2 linked regions of the Saccharomyces cerevisiae S288C genome follow. Each later gene encodes a partner of the first gene's protein in a complex. Each region holds a gene or a part of one and is shown on either strand. Other genes may lie near its edges. A codon is read from its position in the direction of its gene.

Region 1 (9,394 bases):
GAGGCAATGAATCATTTCATGCGGGTATTTGCTAATAAGGGAAGAAGTGATTTGGCATTCCTTTGCTATAATACTTGTCGTAAGATTTACAAAATTAAACCTGATTCTCAGACGTTCGAAATGTTATTTAAAGCGTTAGTTAGGAATGGCAACACCAAGAATTTTGGGGCAGTCCTACAGTATATCAAAGACTTAAAGGTTAGTGAAGGATTTGGATTGCGGACAAGTTATTGGAGAACCAAAGCAGACTCAATTTTCAAATTTGGTAGTCCTAATACGCTATCAGAAAAGTCAATTGAAAAAGCAAGAAAATTGTTGGGCAACCTGATTGCTTCCGAGGGTGAGTTCTCTTGGAAAATTTGGAAAGAAAGTGATTCTTCACAAAAAAAAATACTACGTTTTTTGGGTTGTATCCCCACTACTTTACGCTGCACCAATACAGCACAAGATCATCAGAAGCCCACAAACCTACCCTCAAACATTTCCCAGAAAAAAAGAGAATATCGAAATCGGGTTAAAGCAATAGCCACAAAGGCTGCTTTGGAAAAAAGAATGGCGTATATCAAAGACAATGATGTAGCTTTCAAAAAAGAGCTAGTAAAGAGGAGAATAGTTGGGGAGGTTTGATGAGGGAGGCATAAGTGCCCTGGCATTTGGACAGGAATTTTATTAATATAGGCATTTTTATTGTACATATATACTTCATAGATCATATTCATTTAATTAGACTTCGAAAAGTTGAATCTCTTACGGCAAAGGAGAACAAGAGAAAGGTTAATTATTAGGTCTTATAAAATTTGTTCAATTAATTATAAAGGTGATTACAATACCGGAATATTGGCCGAACAATACTTGAACCAAATTCAGATGAAATTAATAATAGGTAGACACGAGCTGGTGAAAAACAAGCACAATATAGAAAGGTTCGAATATATTAATTATTAGAAAAAACTCAGATGTTTTCAGAACCGGAGGTATGACCGTTTTGACTAACATGATGATCGGCCTCATGGGCTTCATCATCTACAGGAACTTCAGTAGTCCATTCAACTTCCTCTTCTTCGACTACTTGACCGGGGATATCTCCATTTTGGATTTCAGGTTCTTCTTCTTCTTCACCATCTTCGTCTTCATAGACGTCATCAACGGTCTGATGAAATGAAAGAGTTGGTTTGACTGCAGCCATGTCTAGGGTCCAAGATTCCAAGGCCGATTCAGCATCCATAATAATTTGGCGAGAAGCTTCATAGCCATCGTACGCTGGTCTAGCTTCACCTGGAGTGACAGGAGAGTCATCTAGCAGCTCCAATAAGGCCTTTCCGTATCCAGCAATCAGGGCAAATTTTTCAGAAAGCTCTCTTAATGAATCAAACATATAACTATAAGCAGCCTTTAATTTTTCACGTGTGATATTCGATAATTGAGCCTCCGCAACCAAAGATTCAGCTTCGGCACGAACTAGTTCTTGCTCTAAAACTGGGATTTTTGTTGATTGAGGATCTTTATATTTCAAATGGGCAATTTCATCTGTGATCTTTTCCTTACGATCTCTCGAAGGTTGAACAGAGGCTTCAATGTTCCTAATTGATTTTAATGTGACTCTGTATTGATCATATTTATCGATGAACTGGTCCTGTAGTTCACCCAACTCATATATTAAGACGCCTAATTTGTCGGTTACGTCGGAAACATCATCATCATTGTCAGCACCCCATAGAGACAGTTGCTTTGCAGCTTCACGGCGTTCGCTGGCAACAACTTCCATAGCTCTAAGGACACCTTTTTCAGTCTTAACCAATTGAGATAATTTACGAGCCAACTCTGGCCCAAAGTTACCAGCCGCATTTTTTCTAAAACTAGACGCAATAGAGGCCTTTCCGAAGAACTTGGACTTCGTTGAGGATGGTGGTGGTGGAGGAGCTTGTAGCTCAGCAGCCGTTGGAGCTCTTTGATTTCTTAAAGAGTAAGTTCTGTGCATTCTTGTGTTGGAGCTTTGAAAGTTTAATCTTTCGTATACCAAATAAAGAGAATTTACGGTCAAGCATTGGAATTGAGGAAAGAGGTTAACTGATTTTTTTCTTTTCTATCTCACCTGTTTATATATTGCGATTTAGCCGTTGCATCTTCCCGGTTTTTCCGTCTTTTTTTTAAAGGGCCCCTTTTTATCCCCTCTAACGCCTTTCGCAATCCCCTTTTCACTCGGCTGCAACGAGCGGGGTTGTAAGAGCTAAGCTTTCTAGCCTAGCAATGAAATAGAAGGACAAGTCAGACGATTGACGTCAAAAAAATGAGTCGCCTCTCTTTCTTTCTTAGGCCAACTAGACAGCCGTAGATGAAAATATGGAAAGATATGATAGACAGCTGAGACTATGGGGAGCATTGGGCCAAGATAGTTTGAACCGGTCCCGTGTGTGCGTGGTAGGACCTGCTACACCTTTGCTGCAGGAAGTTTTTAAGAATCTGGTGCTTGCCGGAATATCATCTCTTACTTGGCTCAAAGTAGAGTGTGCAGTTCAATCGGGTTCTCTGTTTTTAGCAGAGCTTAAAAAAGATCTTGAGCCATTGGCTTCTAAACAGCTAGAATATGAGGAAAATGACCTTAGAAAGACGTTACAGCAACCTCAGTATGATTGGACCCGCTTCTCGGTGGTGATCTTGACTTGTATTGGTGAGCAAACTGCGATGCTCGATTTAAATGAGATTAGGCGGCAGAGAGGAACAAAGTTTCCGCCTGTTCTAAACACTTTCGTCTCTGGATTTTATGGATATATATATCTGGTACTCTCAGAAACACATTTTGTTTTGCAAGCACACCCAGATAGTAAGAAGTATGATTTACGGTTACAGAACCCTTGGCCTGAACTAATAAATTACGTAGATACATTTGACCTAAGTAAAATGGATACAGCCACGTTTTCTGGTATTCCATATACTGTTTTGCTCATGAAGTGTATTGCAAAACTTGAAAGGGATGGTAATAATGGGAGGATAACGATTGATCAGATGAAGAAAGTTTTAGACCAAATTTGCCTTCCTTTAGGGAATGATGTTATCTACGAACCCAATTATGTGGAAGCTAAACGCTATGCTTACTTGGCCTGCTCTCAAAATGATTGTTGTAAAGAACTGGAAGATCTGCTCCGAAATTTGGAAATATCAGATTATGGGAACGATTGGCATGATACTTATAACTACGAGATTCTCACACTATTATTGACTTTGAAAAATATTGCTAAAGAGAATGGGGAGCTCAGCTTTCAACCTTTAACGGGCACTCTCCCAGATATGGAGTCAACAACGGAAAATTATATCAGACTCAAGAAACTGTATGAAGTAAAAGCAAAGCTTGACAAGTCTCGTGTGGAGGAAAGTTTGGCTCGCAGTAAAAAAATAGTTTCACAGGATGTCTTGGAGACATTTTGTTCTCATTACGGGGAGGTCAGGAAAATATTGCCGCCAAAAAGTGACTTGTTAGGTATTTTTAGCACCTCGAATGCCCTTTTAGATGCATTAGTTATGGTCCAATTCTGGGAGCAACCGGCAGTAACTGCAGAGGATAAAGATGAGTTTATTGGTTTACGAGTCGACGATAACTATTCCGTAATGGCCTTTTTTGGAGGTGCAGTGGTTCAAGAGGCTATAAAGCTTATCACACACCATTACGTTCCTATTGATAACCTATTTTTATATAATGGCATTAATAATTCATCCGCAACATATAAAATATAAAATTTTTTCGTCAGCTCTCCGAGTTCATAGAATGCTTATTTTATTGTACTTCCCTGGTTTGCGTTGATGCAAATAAAGACTAAATGTAAACTTTTATGATGCATATGATATCGAATGTTTACAACAACGAGAGATCACCGGTAAGAACTGTGCTCAATAAAATACAACATCGATAAATACTTAACGCTCATCCACCATTCCTGTTCAAGTCAACTATCTCACAGTTGCCTCGTAATCCAAGAGGGATCCCAATACAACGCCTCTGCACCACCTTGATAATCAATCCACAATAAACCGTTAGCGACCATTTCATCAAGAGCAGATTTACTCCTAACAGCCTCCCATCCCAAGTTTGCCTTTAATAAAGAGATACTTGAGTAGCCCAGAATTGAGCATATTTCCAAAATCTTTGTTTGATCTGATGTCAACTCATTTGGAACACTTCGTAAAAACTTTTTGCCGCGAATTTGAAATATCTCAAAACACTCTAGGCTCTTTAGCATGTCGATAGATTTTTCCAAATCATCGAGTCCAACATTCAGCTTACGAAAATGCACCTTCTCCAACTCTTGAAAAGAAATGACGCCTCCATTCATATCTTTAGTTTGCCGACAAATTTCTATAACTTTAAGACATACTTCATAATAAAAATCATTCACTGTAAATAAGTGCTTATCTCGATCAAATAAAGATAGGGGATCAATCCCAATAGATGAGCACATATGCATGAATTTTGAGCGGAATTCAGGTGAAGCTTGAAGCTCGCTATTGTGTTTCTTGGCAAATTCTACCAGTCGTTCTTGGAATACCATTAATTGGTCCCTTAGTTCGACAGATTGCTTTTCAAGTATGGTTTTGTTTACGTCATTGTACTTTCCATCCTTCAACTCGTCAAAGGCTGCCAGTCCAAACTGTTTCATGTTAGTGAGTTTCGAAGTTGGCTGTTACGCCAAGCATTTTCAAGTCGTGGTAAAGTCTTTGGTCTACTGCATCGCCTCAAAAGGTTATAATATATCCCAGAATTGATGGATTAAGTTCTTGAAATAGCACACCGTTATAAGTGATAAATATATTGTCTTCGAATAACGAATTTATTAGATTTCTATGTATTTCTACTTGAAGTTAGGAATAGATCTTTCTGGAATTGTTTTCAGCAAAATTATGCTTAAGCTATAACTATAGTGAGAATCAAGAATATGTCTGCCAATGATTTCAAGCCTGAAACGTGGACTTCAAGCGCCAACGAAGCCTTAAGAGTTTCTATAGTTGGAGAAAACGCTGTTCAGTTTTCACCATTATTCACGTATCCAATTTACGGTGACTCCGAAAAGATCTACGGCTATAAGGATCTCATCATCCACCTAGCATTTGATTCAGTAACATTCAAGCCGTATGTTAACGTCAAGTATTCAGCAAAATTAGGAGACGACAATATTGTAGACGTGGAAAAAAAATTACTCTCATTTCTACCAAAGGATGATGTAATTGTTAGGGATGAAGCTAAATGGGTAGATTGCTTTGCAGAAGAACGAAAAACACATAATTTATCTGATGTTTTTGAAAAAGTATCAGAGTATTCGTTGAATGGGGAAGAATTTGTTGTATATAAATCGAGTTTGGTTGACGATTTTGCCAGGAGAATGCATCGTCGTGTTCAAATCTTTTCATTACTTTTTATCGAAGCCGCTAACTATATAGATGAGACTGACCCGAGTTGGCAAATCTATTGGTTGTTGAACAAGAAAACAAAAGAATTGATTGGTTTCGTCACTACTTACAAGTATTGGCACTACCTTGGAGCAAAATCTTTCGATGAGGATATAGATAAAAAATTCAGAGCCAAAATATCTCAATTTCTGATCTTTCCACCTTATCAAAATAAAGGCCACGGATCCTGTCTTTATGAGGCTATAATCCAATCTTGGCTAGAAGACAAAAGTATTACTGAAATTACTGTAGAGGATCCAAACGAAGCATTTGACGATCTTCGCGACAGGAATGATATTCAAAGACTGCGAAAACTTGGTTATGATGCTGTCTTTCAGAAGCACTCCGACCTTTCTGATGAGTTTTTGGAGTCAAGCCGAAAATCTTTAAAACTGGAAGAAAGACAGTTTAATCGTCTTGTGGAAATGCTTCTTCTTTTAAACAATTCTCCATCATTTGAATTAAAGGTAAAGAATAGGTTGTACATTAAAAATTATGATGCCCTAGATCAAACTGATCCAGAAAAGGCAAGAGAAGCTTTACAAAATTCATTTATTTTAGTCAAAGATGATTATAGGCGTATTATAGAGTCGATAAATAAATCTCAAGGTTAACTGTTTATTAAATATATAATAACATATTTATTTGTTTAACAAGCCTGAAATAAGAAATTCTTTTATAAATACATCATCGAGATGATCATCAAAGTGTCTCTATAGTTAATATAAGCTTATGCAAAGGTTGAAGCCGTTATGTTGTCGTAATTCTAAATTACAGGTTATATTAAAGAGATTATCTTGACTGATATAAAATTTCTTATCATGGTAGTGATCACAAATAGATCACATGATATATTTTTTATTTTTAATTTTTTTTAATTATAAAAATAATTTTTTTCTTTAAATTAAACAAAAATAAAAAATTGTTTTTTGTTGGTTAAGATTTCCGAAAATAGAAATATTATTCAGTTGAAAGACAAAAAAACATAAATATTTCTATGAGCAAACAATTTGAACAGAAAAATAAAATTGGGGAAGTGACACACCATGGTAGCGGTTCTAAAGCGAAATCGGCAAAGCGGCTAAATAGCAGTTTTGATGACTTACTCCACACTGAAAATGGATGACCTTAAATAGGAGATAAAGCTTTTTCATCCCTATGTATTTAAGATGACTGGCTTGTCAAGCATTCTAATCATAAAAAAAAGATCGTATTTGATCAAGAATTTATACATAGACGCCGCTAAATAATTGAATACAAAATGGTACAAAGGCTTCTACCGGGCGCACATATATGCAGAAGGTCCTTCAATTCGTCTGCAATTATAAAGTCTTCTGCATTGACTCTCAAGGAAGCATTAGAAAACGTGATACCTAAGAAAAGAGATGCTGTGAAGAAATTGAAGGCCTGTTATGGCAGCACGTTTGTCGGACCGATTACCATTTCATCAGTTCTAGGTGGGATGAGAGGTAATCAGTCAATGTTTTGGCAAGGAACATCATTAGATCCCGAACATGGCATTAAATTTCAAGGTTTAACGATTGAAGAATGTCAAAATAGATTACCTAATACAGGTATTGATGGCGATAATTTCCTGCCAGAATCAATGTTATGGCTGTTGATGACAGGTGGTGTGCCAACTTTCCAGCAAGCTGCTTCTTTCAGGAAAGAATTGGCTATTCGTGGAAGGAAATTGCCACATTATACAGAGAAAGTTTTGTCAAGTTTACCCAAAGATATGCACCCTATGACCCAACTTGCAATTGGTTTAGCATCAATGAACAAAGGATCCCTCTTTGCTACAAACTACCAAAAGGGCCTCATAGGAAAGATGGAATTTTGGAAAGATACTCTTGAAGATTCGCTAAATTTAATTGCTTCACTCCCGCTGCTGACTGGGAGAATTTATTCGAACATTACAAATGAGGGACACCCATTAGGTCAATATAGTGAGGAGGTGGATTGGTGTACAAACATATGTTCCCTGCTCGGCATGACAAATGGAACGAACTCTTCTAATACATGCAACCTTACTTCCCAGCAATCCCTGGACTTCATAAACTTGATGCGGTTATATACCGGTATACATGTAGACCATGAAGGTGGTAATGTTTCTGCTCACACCACCCACTTGGTTGGAAGTGCGTTGAGTGACCCGTATCTCAGCTATTCATCTGGAATAATGGGATTAGCGGGTCCTTTGCATGGGTTAGCAGCACAAGAAGTAGTAAGGTTTCTCATAGAGATGAACTCTAATATTTCCAGCATTGCACGAGAACAAGAAATCAAAGATTATCTTTGGAAAATTTTGAATTCAAACCGTGTGATCCCCGGTTATGGGCACGCAGTTTTGCGTAAACCGGATCCTCGATTTACAGCAATGCTTGAATTTGCGCAAAAGAGGCCTATTGAATTTGAGAACGACAAGAACGTTTTGTTGATGCAAAAATTGGCAGAAATAGCGCCTAAGGTTTTGTTGGAACACGGAAAGAGTAAGAATCCATTTCCCAATGTTGACTCTGCATCGGGGATTTTGTTTTATCATTATGGAATCAGGGAATTATTATTCTTTACCGTCATTTTTGGGTGTTCAAGGGCCATGGGACCCTTGACACAACTTGTTTGGGATCGCATTCTAGGTTTACCAATTGAAAGGCCCAAGAGTTTGAACTTGGAGGGTCTGGAAGCACTTACCAAAGCAAGCAATGTTAACAAGTTGTAACGCAGTTCCAATTTACAAGAATGCTTCGTTTGCTATTACAATATTGAAATATAAATAAAATTCCATACAGCATGTCTAATCATAGCTAATTTATACATATTCATCATGAAAACATATAGGGGAAAATATGGTCGGTTAACACACCTATCAAAAAATTATTCAGCAATTCCAATCTCGTTAGTAAAATATATTCTTATTTTTTTTTTTTTTCTCTGATTGTATTATTTCTGGAGTTTTGACTTATTTTTTTACCACATCGCGCTTTTCGTCCCCAATCTCTCTGATATATGATGCTGTCTATAGGTAGCCACTTCCCCGATGTCGGACCTCGGGCCGTTTACAAACTTTATTGAGATGACCTTATTTCTCCACATTCTAGTCATTCAACTTTTACCCTCATATGTTTACCTTCACTAATGTGAAAGCATGACCAAAGAAAGTGTATAAGGTATATAAATCTGCCATAATGTATGTATAACTTATTAGGACTTTCTCAAATAGTATTTTGGTATTTTCTACTGTTCTCTGATGATCGAGAGCAAACAGAATGTTTTTAGCCAAAAATCTAAAAAATAATAAAATCAAGGTATGCTTGCCTAAAAAGAAATTTGCTGCGCTGAGTACAGCGTCTATACAAACTAATGAAAGACCAAATCCAGATAAGGTTTTGAAGGACATCGCGAAATATGTCCATGAAACCCCATTAAAATCATCTTTGGCTCTAGATACAGCACGACTCTGTTTCCTTGATACTCTAGGCTGTGGCTTGGCGGCTTTGAAATTTAAGCAGGCTCAAAATATTATTAAACCAATTGTGCCAGGAACAATAGTTCCCAGTGGAACAAAAATATTGGGCACATCTTACGTTATGGATCCAGTGAAGGGAGCTTTTGCCATTGGTACTCTAATACGTTGGTTAGATTACAATGACTGCTGGTTAGCTGCCGAGTGGGGGCACCCATCAGATAACCTTGGGGGAATTTTAGCTGTCGCGGATCACTTGTCCAGATTAAACAAGGCTACCCACGGAAAGAATGGAAAACAGTTTCTTGTTAAAGACGTATTAGAGGCAATGATTAAAGCGCATGAAATCCAAGGTATTATAGCGCTCGAAAATTCTTTCAATAAAGTAGGTTTAGATCATGTGGTACTCGTGAAAGTAGCAACGGCTGGTGTTGTCTCGAAGATGCTGGGCCTGAGCCAGGAACAAACTATTGAAGCATTGTCACAAGCATT
Region 2 (9,188 bases), on another chromosome or scaffold:
TTTTATTTATCACACTACTGTGCTATATAGAGTATATGTAATTTTTAACTATTGGTATATGTGTCCGTGACCTCGTAGTTAGTGGCTGATTTGTCGGGTGCAATGCAGTGTTCAAAAAGCCTCTTAAAAGGCGAGCAGACGTATTCGGCTCCTTTGAATTGGCACTCCCATTGCACAAGCTCTTTCAGCCGGCAGTTGGTTTGTGAGTCAAGCGTTGCTAACGGTGCGAGCGCTTGGTCCCTAGTGCGGATGGTGGTTGGAGGCGCCATGAGGGTTGATTGTCTTATCTGCGATAGATGAGTCTTTCTTTCCTTCTCTTTTCCCCTTTTCTCCCCCCCTGTTTCTCGTCCATCTCTATCTGTCTATCTGTCTTATCTACTGTTAGTTTTTTTTTCGCTTTCACGATACCGCATTACGTACTGCGCTGCGGAAGTGTGGATGAGTGGCATATACACTCTTCTGCAGAGGATTTTCGTACACAACGGTGTGTGTGTGCTGTGAAGCTGTCTGCTTCCTTACTTGGCTGTTTGCTTGCTTGTGCGTCATGGTCACTTTTGTTAGAAGTGAGCCGCATAAAATGGCATGTCGGCACAGCCTACAGTTAAAAATTAAGCATATCTGACTGTTTATCTGTTTATCTGTTTATACACGGTGAACTGTCACGAGAACCCTTACTTGCACGATTAGCAGATTGTTCAGAGAGCCTCGCTCGTTGAAGTTCTTCTATATGCCAGCGTGTTTCATGTAGCAGGAAACGTTGCTCTATTTATATCTTTTCTGACATTTTGCGTCGTCGGGAAAAAAAAGATTAAGTAAGAACAAAAAACCGTTAATGGTTTCAGCAATCGAGACAAGTACAAGGACCAAGGCAAAGGTCAGCAGTAAGCTTAGAGACGATGAAGGTTGATTACGAGCAATTGTGCAAACTCTACGATGACACGTGCCGCACAAAGAATGTGCAGTTCAGTTACGGTACGGCCGGATTCAGAACGCTGGCCAAGAATTTGGATACGGTGATGTTCAGTACTGGTATACTGGCGGTTCTCAGGTCGCTGAAGCTTCAGGGTCAGTATGTGGGGGTGATGATCACGGCGTCGCACAACCCATACCAGGACAACGGGGTCAAGATCGTGGAACCAGACGGATCGATGCTTTTGGCCACATGGGAGCCATATGCCATGCAGTTGGCCAATGCGGCCTCTTTTGCCACTAATTTTGAAGAATTTCGTGTTGAGTTGGCCAAGCTGATTGAACACGAAAAGATTGATTTGAATACAACCGTCGTGCCTCACATCGTGGTTGGGAGAGACTCTAGGGAAAGTAGTCCATACTTGCTGCGCTGCTTGACTTCCTCCATGGCCAGCGTCTTCCACGCGCAAGTTTTGGACCTAGGCTGTGTCACTACGCCTCAATTGCATTACATTACTGATTTGTCCAACAGGCGGAAACTGGAAGGAGACACAGCGCCAGTTGCCACAGAACAGGACTACTATTCGTTCTTTATAGGAGCCTTCAACGAGCTCTTCGCCACGTATCAGCTGGAGAAGAGGCTGTCTGTCCCAAAATTGTTCATAGACACAGCCAATGGTATCGGTGGTCCACAGTTGAAAAAACTACTGGCCTCCGAAGATTGGGACGTGCCAGCGGAGCAAGTTGAGGTAATCAACGACAGGTCCGATGTTCCAGAACTGTTGAATTTTGAATGCGGTGCGGATTATGTGAAGACTAACCAGAGATTACCCAAGGGTCTTTCTCCATCCTCGTTTGATTCGCTATATTGCTCCTTTGATGGTGACGCAGACAGGGTTGTGTTCTACTATGTCGACTCAGGATCAAAATTTCATTTGTTGGATGGTGACAAAATTTCCACTTTGTTTGCAAAGTTCTTGTCTAAACAACTAGAATTGGCACACCTAGAACATTCTTTGAAGATTGGTGTTGTGCAAACTGCCTATGCAAACGGCAGTTCCACCGCTTACATAAAAAATACGTTGCACTGTCCCGTGTCTTGCACTAAGACAGGTGTTAAACACTTGCATCATGAAGCTGCCACTCAGTACGATATTGGCATTTATTTCGAAGCAAATGGACATGGTACGATTATATTCAGCGAAAAATTTCATCGAACTATCAAATCTGAATTATCCAAGTCCAAGTTAAATGGTGATACGTTAGCTTTGAGAACTTTGAAGTGTTTCTCTGAATTGATTAATCAGACCGTGGGAGATGCTATTTCAGACATGCTTGCTGTCCTTGCTACTTTGGCGATTTTGAAAATGTCGCCAATGGATTGGGATGAAGAGTATACTGATTTGCCCAACAAGCTGGTTAAGTGCATCGTTCCTGATAGGTCAATTTTCCAAACCACGGACCAGGAAAGAAAATTGCTCAATCCAGTGGGGTTGCAAGACAAGATAGATCTTGTGGTAGCCAAGTATCCCATGGGAAGAAGCTTTGTCAGAGCCAGTGGTACGGAGGATGCGGTGAGGGTTTATGCGGAATGTAAGGACTCCTCTAAGTTAGGTCAATTTTGTGACGAAGTGGTGGAGCACGTTAAGGCATCTGCTTGAAAGCATTATTCGATGTATAGTATAGCTATTTAGATATACAGAGAGATAAATGAAAGAGAAAAAATATTGGTATCAATCAACGTTTGTTACAGGCTTAGACTTTGGTTTGGTAATTGAAATTCATGGTAGTGGAAATAAACAAAATTTTCCTCTTCAATTTTTTTCGTCGTTTCGCTCTGCAATCGAAAATCAAATAATCTTCATAAAAGAAATCACTTTCAATAAATGAACTTCTCACTACCATAATGGATGATGTGGCCGATTCGAAAGCAATACGGTTGATTAACACGGAAACCCCGAGTGATAAGTCACCAAAAAAAATTCTCTTTACGATGAATGTTCCGAATTTGTTCTCCTCTTTACAGTTTTCGTTGGAAAGGTATTTATATGTAATTTCCTTCAGAATTCTCTTGTTTTCTATGTTGGCATTGTCGAGATGAACCTGTTTCAGTATGGCATTGGGAAAAAGTGTAGCTTGTAACTTTAAAACTTGATCATGCAGTGTTGCAGCTAAATTATCCAGAGTAAAAATTTCCTCTTTGGAGTAAATGCCTAGCAAGTTTTTCAGCTGACTACTCCAACCTCGCCTGGCCCTGTGCTTTCTACTTACACAATCTTTGTGATTTGGTGGTAAGGTTTTTGGAAAATGAGGAAGAGTATCTAGTTGTTGGGTAATGTTTCTTTCCAAGAATGATATTTTTTTCATTATGACGTCAATTTCTTTAGAATAAGCCGAGAACTGTACAGTTTTAAAACCCTTTCTGTTGTCATTCCTCTGAATCCCATCATTTGCCATTTAATTTTCAATTTAGTTACTAGTCAATTTTCTTTTTCGCCTTTTGTATTCCATAATATGAATATAAGCTTGGGCTTGCCGATTTTCTCCGCTTAATATTAAGCCTACGCATGATGTAGGTTACATTTTGAAGGGTTTCTTTTAACTTCCTTACTTATTTATATATGTATGAACCTACACAAGGCATTTTACCCTTATTTCTTCCCGCAACATTTGATAAAAAGTGGAAGACGTTTGTGATTGTTATTATCGCCCCAATTTTCTCCTTTTTTTCTTTTCCTTCAACGTCAATCAATTGCACATTCAGCCGATTGGCTTTCTTAGCGCAGGATAGGGTGTCGGGGATACCTGTGGGAAGTTAGTGACACTTTTTTTTCCACTCTCTTCATGGAATCCCCGGACGGCAGCCGCCCGTCCCAATTTTGGCAAAATTGACATCCTAACTGCACGAATTCTCATCGCGTATCAGAACTCTTGAGCCTTCAGTTTTACTACTCAATGCTCTGATTTATCTATATATACATAAATGAAAATAATACGTGCGCATTTATAAGACAAAAAGTTAGAATTCTGACCACGATTGCATGCTGTAGATAATTGTCGTGTTCATTCTCTCTTTAACGGCGCCTCAAGAAGAATATAAAATAATTGCTCTTGCAGTCTCAATGAGTCGGTATGTTCAAAGTGGTGCCCAACATTTACTAATATTGGACTGCGGTACAAAATCGGCGGCTAAACTGTCTACCGATAAAATACTCTTGATTTATAAGAATGAAAAAGAAAACAAAAAGGGATGACCCCTGAAAAAGTTTGTTTTCTTTACCCTTTTTTATGTTAAATTTTACATTTATTACCGTTTACGTCAATCGCAATATACAGGTGGGGCATTGTTATTTGATTTCATAATCTGGTGAGAACGTTATCACGCGGATTATTTAGTTTTTTTAAACCATGTGCGAAGAAATTCTCATATATTGTAGGCATTTCTGACTCAAACTTCTGCTGCTTAAAATAGCTGTTTTCACCTTTTTTTTCCTCTTGTTCTATTTGACATGCTCCCTTTCTTCCTCGGTCCTTTCAACCATTTCCATGCTCCTGTAGGCTCAGGAGCAGAGCGAGGAAAAAACTTCCCTACAGAAAGCTTTCATGTTTTTAACCGGTTTCCTTTCAGCTTTTTCTTTTGGAGTAATCTAGAAAGATTAGGTCATTTGTTCAGTCTATTTGATACTTGATGAGTAGCTCGTCTGTTCTGTTCAAAATAACAATTTGTGAGGTGTACGGATGTTTTCACTGGCATTCGTCGACATGACAAAGACAAACCTTGAAAATAATAATGGAGAATAACTAGAAAGACGTTACTATGCCTCTAATACTTCTGCCTCTCTTATCTCTCCTATCAATTGTGGTTAGCCTAGTAGTCACCAAATAGCAAATTACCAATCAACTATGGAAAACCAAGAGAAACCGCTTTCTGTAGACGAGGAGTACGATTTATGGAAATCCAATGTTCCATTAATGTATGACTTTGTTAGCGAGACACGTTTAACATGGCCATCTTTAACCGTCCAATGGCTCCCTACTCCTGTTCAAGAATTAGATGGTGGCTTTATTAAACAAGAATTAATCATCGGTACGCACACTTCTGGTGAAGAAGAAAACTATTTGAAATTCGCAGAAATTAATCTACCAAAGGAAATTCTTAGTAATGAAGACCCACAAGAAGAAGCAGGAGAGGAGTATCAGTCCTCTCTACCTGCTCCTAGGTCAAATATAAGGATTACCGCTAAATATGAGCACGAAGAAGAAATCACTAGAGCCCGATATATGCCTCAAGACCCTAATATTGTCGCCACAATAAATGGGCAAGGCACAGTTTTCCTCTATTCTCGCTCAGAAGGTCTTCAGTCAACACTAAAATTTCATAAGGATAACGGTTATGCTTTATCATTTAGCACTTTGGTCAAAGGGCGATTGCTTTCCGGCTCAGATGATCATACAGTCGCTCTCTGGGAAGTGGGGAGTGGCGGTGACCCTACAAAACCAGTACGAACTTGGAATGATTTACATTCTGATATTATTAATGATAATAAATGGCACAACTTCAATAAAGATCTATTCGGCACTGTTTCAGAAGATTCTCTCTTAAAAATAAATGACGTCAGGGCAAACAATACTACGATCGATACTGTGAAATGCCCGCAACCTTTCAACACATTAGCATTTAGTCATCATTCCTCAAACCTCCTTGCGGCCGCAGGTATGGACTCGTATGTTTATCTATATGATCTAAGAAACATGAAGGAACCATTACACCATATGTCGGGTCATGAAGATGCAGTGAACAATTTGGAATTTTCAACCCATGTTGACGGTGTAGTTGTATCCAGCGGGTCAGACAATAGATTGATGATGTGGGATTTGAAACAAATTGGAGCAGAACAAACACCTGATGACGCGGAAGACGGCGTTCCTGAATTGATCATGGTCCACGCAGGTCACAGAAGTTCAGTGAATGATTTTGATTTGAACCCTCAAATACCTTGGTTGGTAGCAAGTGCTGAAGAAGAAAATATTTTACAAGTTTGGAAGTGTTCCCATAGTCTACCCATCGTGGGAGGTCCACCAAAGGTGAACAAGGATATAATAAGCTAATATATAGTTTTTTTATTGTTTCTTTGGCGAAAAGGCGTAATTAAACAAAGATCAACATACATAATCCGATTTTGAGGAGTGATAAAATATACTTAGATTATTCCTTATCCATTACAGTTTGCTTTTTTGAAGATAGCCAATTGATGAAATCAATAAAAATGTTAGGTCCACATTTTCCTTTTTGCATCCACTCTTTGGTAGTTGCAGTATACAAGTCAATCAATTCGTCAAGCTTGTCGTTACCACCGATTTCAACGTATAACTTACTCAAAAACAGTGAGCTGGTTGAGCACATTGAATAAAACACTGCAGCATGCTGACCTGGCTTAGAAGTCAGCATCAGCTTGTGTGTTTTTTTCAACAAATCCATAAGCTCGATGTCTTTGTTCATGTCTTTGAATGCAGTTACTTTTATCTTGAATATTTTACCCTTCAACAATTTAGAAATTTTGTCGGCAAGTGGCCTATCAAGAGTTTCATTGACACATTTCAGCATTGGGATAATAAAATAAACGAGCTTGCTTAATGAGCCTCCTAAATTGTTGGAATGTTCACTTTTATTAGCAAGAGTCAATTTTTCACAATATTTGACGTAAACGGCTAACATGTCGACAACTCTATGCTTGAACGAGATAACGTTTTCCCTAGATTGTTTTACCTCAAATTTCCTCTGGTTTCCAGTAGATATGCTTGATAATGCTTCCTTACGACGTTTGAAAATTTCGGATAACTGATCATCTAATTCCATCATTTTTTCATCATCCATAGACTCCTCATCTTCATCGTCTCCACCGTCGTCAGAAAGCCCTTCGAGTTGGTCTAAGTCAACTTCCCCTTTATCATTAACTATGTTATCGGGTAAATTTAACGCCTTCACTAAGGCGCTAGTGGCCTCTTTATCAATATTCAAAATATCTTCATTTGCCTCGTCTTCTTCATCTTTTTCATCAGCATCATCGCTATCACTCTCACTTTCACTTTCACTTTCACTACCAGTTTTCGATTCGTCTTCACTGGCATCATTTTCTTCCTTAATTTCTTCAAATTCTTCTTCTCCTTCGAATAGCTGGGCAAAACCTTGCTTGTTTTCTCTCGCTTTTAAAATATCTAATAAAATTTGCAATTCTTCCAAACCAACTTCTTCAATAAACTGCTGCCAGATTATTAAACTCAATTTCCTGAGTAAGGCCTTCTTTTGGGCTAAAAGTGATAGTAAGATTTCAGTGATGCCTACCATTGAGTTATTCTCGTGTTTGGAAAATTCGCAAAGTTCTTCGATCACAGAAATAGAATCGGTGTCACCTGCATATAATTGTACTAAGCACATAGATAACAACGTGCTTAGACCCCAAGATTGAGCAGTTCTTGATCTGCAAACTTTACTCAAGCAAGATATAGCTTCGTTTTTTATATTTTCTAAATTTTCGTCCAGTGGATTGATTAAATCTCCTACATGAGAATTTTCAATGTCCAGTATTAACTTTAATGTCAGATATTGCCATGAGTTTATTTCAGGATCTTTGCAACGTATTTCTTTGTTTATTGTCAACTCTCCCAGGATGGAATAAAGTCTTTCCTTGGCTAATTCGTGTAGCTGTTCTAACTTCAGATCATCTGATGTATGTTTGAAGAAAGCCATATATACGATGGGTCTCAACACGGGCTTCATTATGTCCATGTCATTGATTTCGACTTTGTGTGCACGAACTATATGAAGGATGGAATCAAGAGCAAAAAGGGTATGAGATAAAACTCCCTTTTTATCTTGTAACTGTAGAAAAAACACATCGAGTAATTGGGCAAGAACAGTAGAAGGTAATTCTTTAATTGCAATAAGTTTGGAAACGGTGCCAGATTTTGTTAACTTATCAAAGTTTATGGAACCGTGAGGACCAAATAACATTGCATTTAAACAAGGTACTAGTCTGTTTGCAGAATCTTCTTCACAAGCCTTCACTATGGAGTCTAAAGTTAACTGGGAAATCTTATTTAAAACTCTTTGTGAATCTATTGATTGGTTGATCAATGTTCTCATAACGTTTTGGCTGAAGCAAAACCCGATGTACGAGCCAGGAACTGCCTTGAAAGCCGCGTCGATTATTAGAAAGCCTAAATATTTTCTTTCACTAGAAGCTTTCTCATTGAAAAATGATTCGTCCACGGCCATTTTCCAAAACTCTGGAAATTGAATTGAATTCTGAACCTTTTTATTGTTGGTTTTCTTCCTTTTCTTCGAAATATGACTAGTGTTCTCTAATTTTCCATTACCAAACAACGGTAGCAGAACACTCCAAACAAAATGCAGCCTAGGGTTCCAATTCGTGTTTTTTTGTTTTTTCGTCTCTTTTAAACCTCCATTGGCATCCGGAATTACAGAAGAGTTTCTCAATACTTTTGTTAAAAGGGGCAGATTTCCTCTTGCCAGAGGGTCGTTATCCTTCCAACCTGGATTTTTCAAATCCAACACCGAGGGAATTAGACTTTCATCACCTTCATATTTCAGCAACAAATAAGTTGACAGTCCCTCATTTGTCAGAGTCAGGTCATATTTATCATATATCAGAAGAATTTTTTCAGCGGAACTTTCATCCATAAAAGGTAGCAGCATTTTCATAGTCTGGAAAAGGGTAAAAAAGCATGGTTCTTTGATCCAGTTTTTCTTCAGGGCCAGATCAATTAGCTGTTCCGTGAATCGAATGAAAAACTCGGTGTTTCCTTTTTCCAAATCTTTAACAAATATTTCTGAGAATAAAGGTTCATTTAGTAGAGATTTCAAGCCAAATAACTTCCCAAATAAAATTCCACGCTCATCTTTGCCCTTCATGGATTTTTTTGTTCCCTCATTGACATTAACGTTCAAAATGGTTGATAAGGTGCTCAAGAACTCGTTCGTTGATTCTAAACCTTTTGGTCGTTGACCTGGTGGCATATTAACAGCTAAATTGATTACTTCCGTCAAACATAAAGAAAATCCTAACCTCGCGCTATTTCTGTCAGACGACAAACCCTTGATTAAACGATTCAATACATAAGACCATTCTTCTGCATCGTCGGGCAAATCTAATGCGGATAAGTCCTTTATTAATGCGACAGCTGCATGTAGACGCTCTTCTCGAAGATCAGAAGCTAGTTTAAAAAAAAGGTCTCTGTTGACTTTCCCTGTCATTTTT

Evidence for each region.
Region 2: the proteins of HAT1 (region 1) and HAT2 are in contact, whole or in part, in a crystal structure (PDB 4PSW), measured with the Saccharomyces cerevisiae proteins. Residues at the interface, in NP_015324.1 of Saccharomyces cerevisiae: Tyr196 (codon at 5,511), Trp197 (codon at 5,514), Tyr199 (codon at 5,520), Gly201 (codon at 5,526), Ala202 (codon at 5,529), Phe205 (codon at 5,538), Asp206 (codon at 5,541), Asp208 (codon at 5,547), Ile209 (codon at 5,550), Lys211 (codon at 5,556), Arg214 (codon at 5,565), Ile252 (codon at 5,679), Thr253 (codon at 5,682), Val254 (codon at 5,685), Asp256 (codon at 5,691), Pro257 (codon at 5,694), Arg265 (codon at 5,718), Glu303 (codon at 5,832), Arg305 (codon at 5,838); in NP_010858.3 of Saccharomyces cerevisiae: His262 (codon at 5,596), Ser263 (codon at 5,599), Ser264 (codon at 5,602), Asn265 (codon at 5,605), Leu266 (codon at 5,608), Leu278 (codon at 5,644), Asp280 (codon at 5,650), Arg282 (codon at 5,656), Pro287 (codon at 5,671), Leu288 (codon at 5,674), His289 (codon at 5,677), Asp308 (codon at 5,734), Gly309 (codon at 5,737), Leu325 (codon at 5,785), Lys326 (codon at 5,788), Gln327 (codon at 5,791), Ile328 (codon at 5,794), Gly329 (codon at 5,797), Ala330 (codon at 5,800), Glu331 (codon at 5,803), Gln332 (codon at 5,806), Thr333 (codon at 5,809), Pro334 (codon at 5,812), Ala337 (codon at 5,821).

Annotation. Positions count from the first base shown.
Region 1 is NC_001148.4:549,680-559,073, forward strand, and holds HAT1 (histone acetyltransferase catalytic subunit HAT1), read left to right. Parts: upstream 1-4,925; coding exon 4,926-6,050; downstream 6,051-9,394. Other genes in the region: AEP3 (Aep3p), read left to right, coding at 1-627; lipid-binding protein LSP1, read right to left, coding at 953-1,978; ULA1 (Ula1p), read left to right, coding at 2,341-3,729; ESCRT-II subunit protein SNF8, read right to left, coding at 3,948-4,649; citrate (Si)-synthase CIT3, read left to right, coding at 6,698-8,158; PDH1 (putative 2-methylcitrate dehydratase), read left to right, coding at 8,706-9,394. UniProt on the Saccharomyces cerevisiae protein: Catalytic component of the histone acetylase B (HAT-B) complex. Acetylates 'Lys-12' of free histone H4 in the cytoplasm. The complex is also found in the nucleus, however it is not certain that it modifies histone H4 when packaged in chromatin.
Region 2 is NC_001137.3:42,356-51,543, forward strand, and holds HAT2 (Hat2p), read left to right. Parts: upstream 1-4,812; coding exon 4,813-6,018; downstream 6,019-9,188. Other genes in the region: SOM1 (Som1p), read right to left, coding at 45-269; HHY1 (Hhy1p), read left to right, coding at 297-605; phosphoacetylglucosamine mutase PCM1, read left to right, coding at 897-2,570; SDD1 (Sdd1p), read right to left, coding at 2,665-3,366; POL5 (DNA-directed DNA polymerase), read right to left, coding at 6,116-9,184. UniProt on the Saccharomyces cerevisiae protein: Regulatory subunit of the histone acetylase B (HAT-B) complex. The complex acetylates 'Lys-12' of histone H4 which is required for telomeric silencing.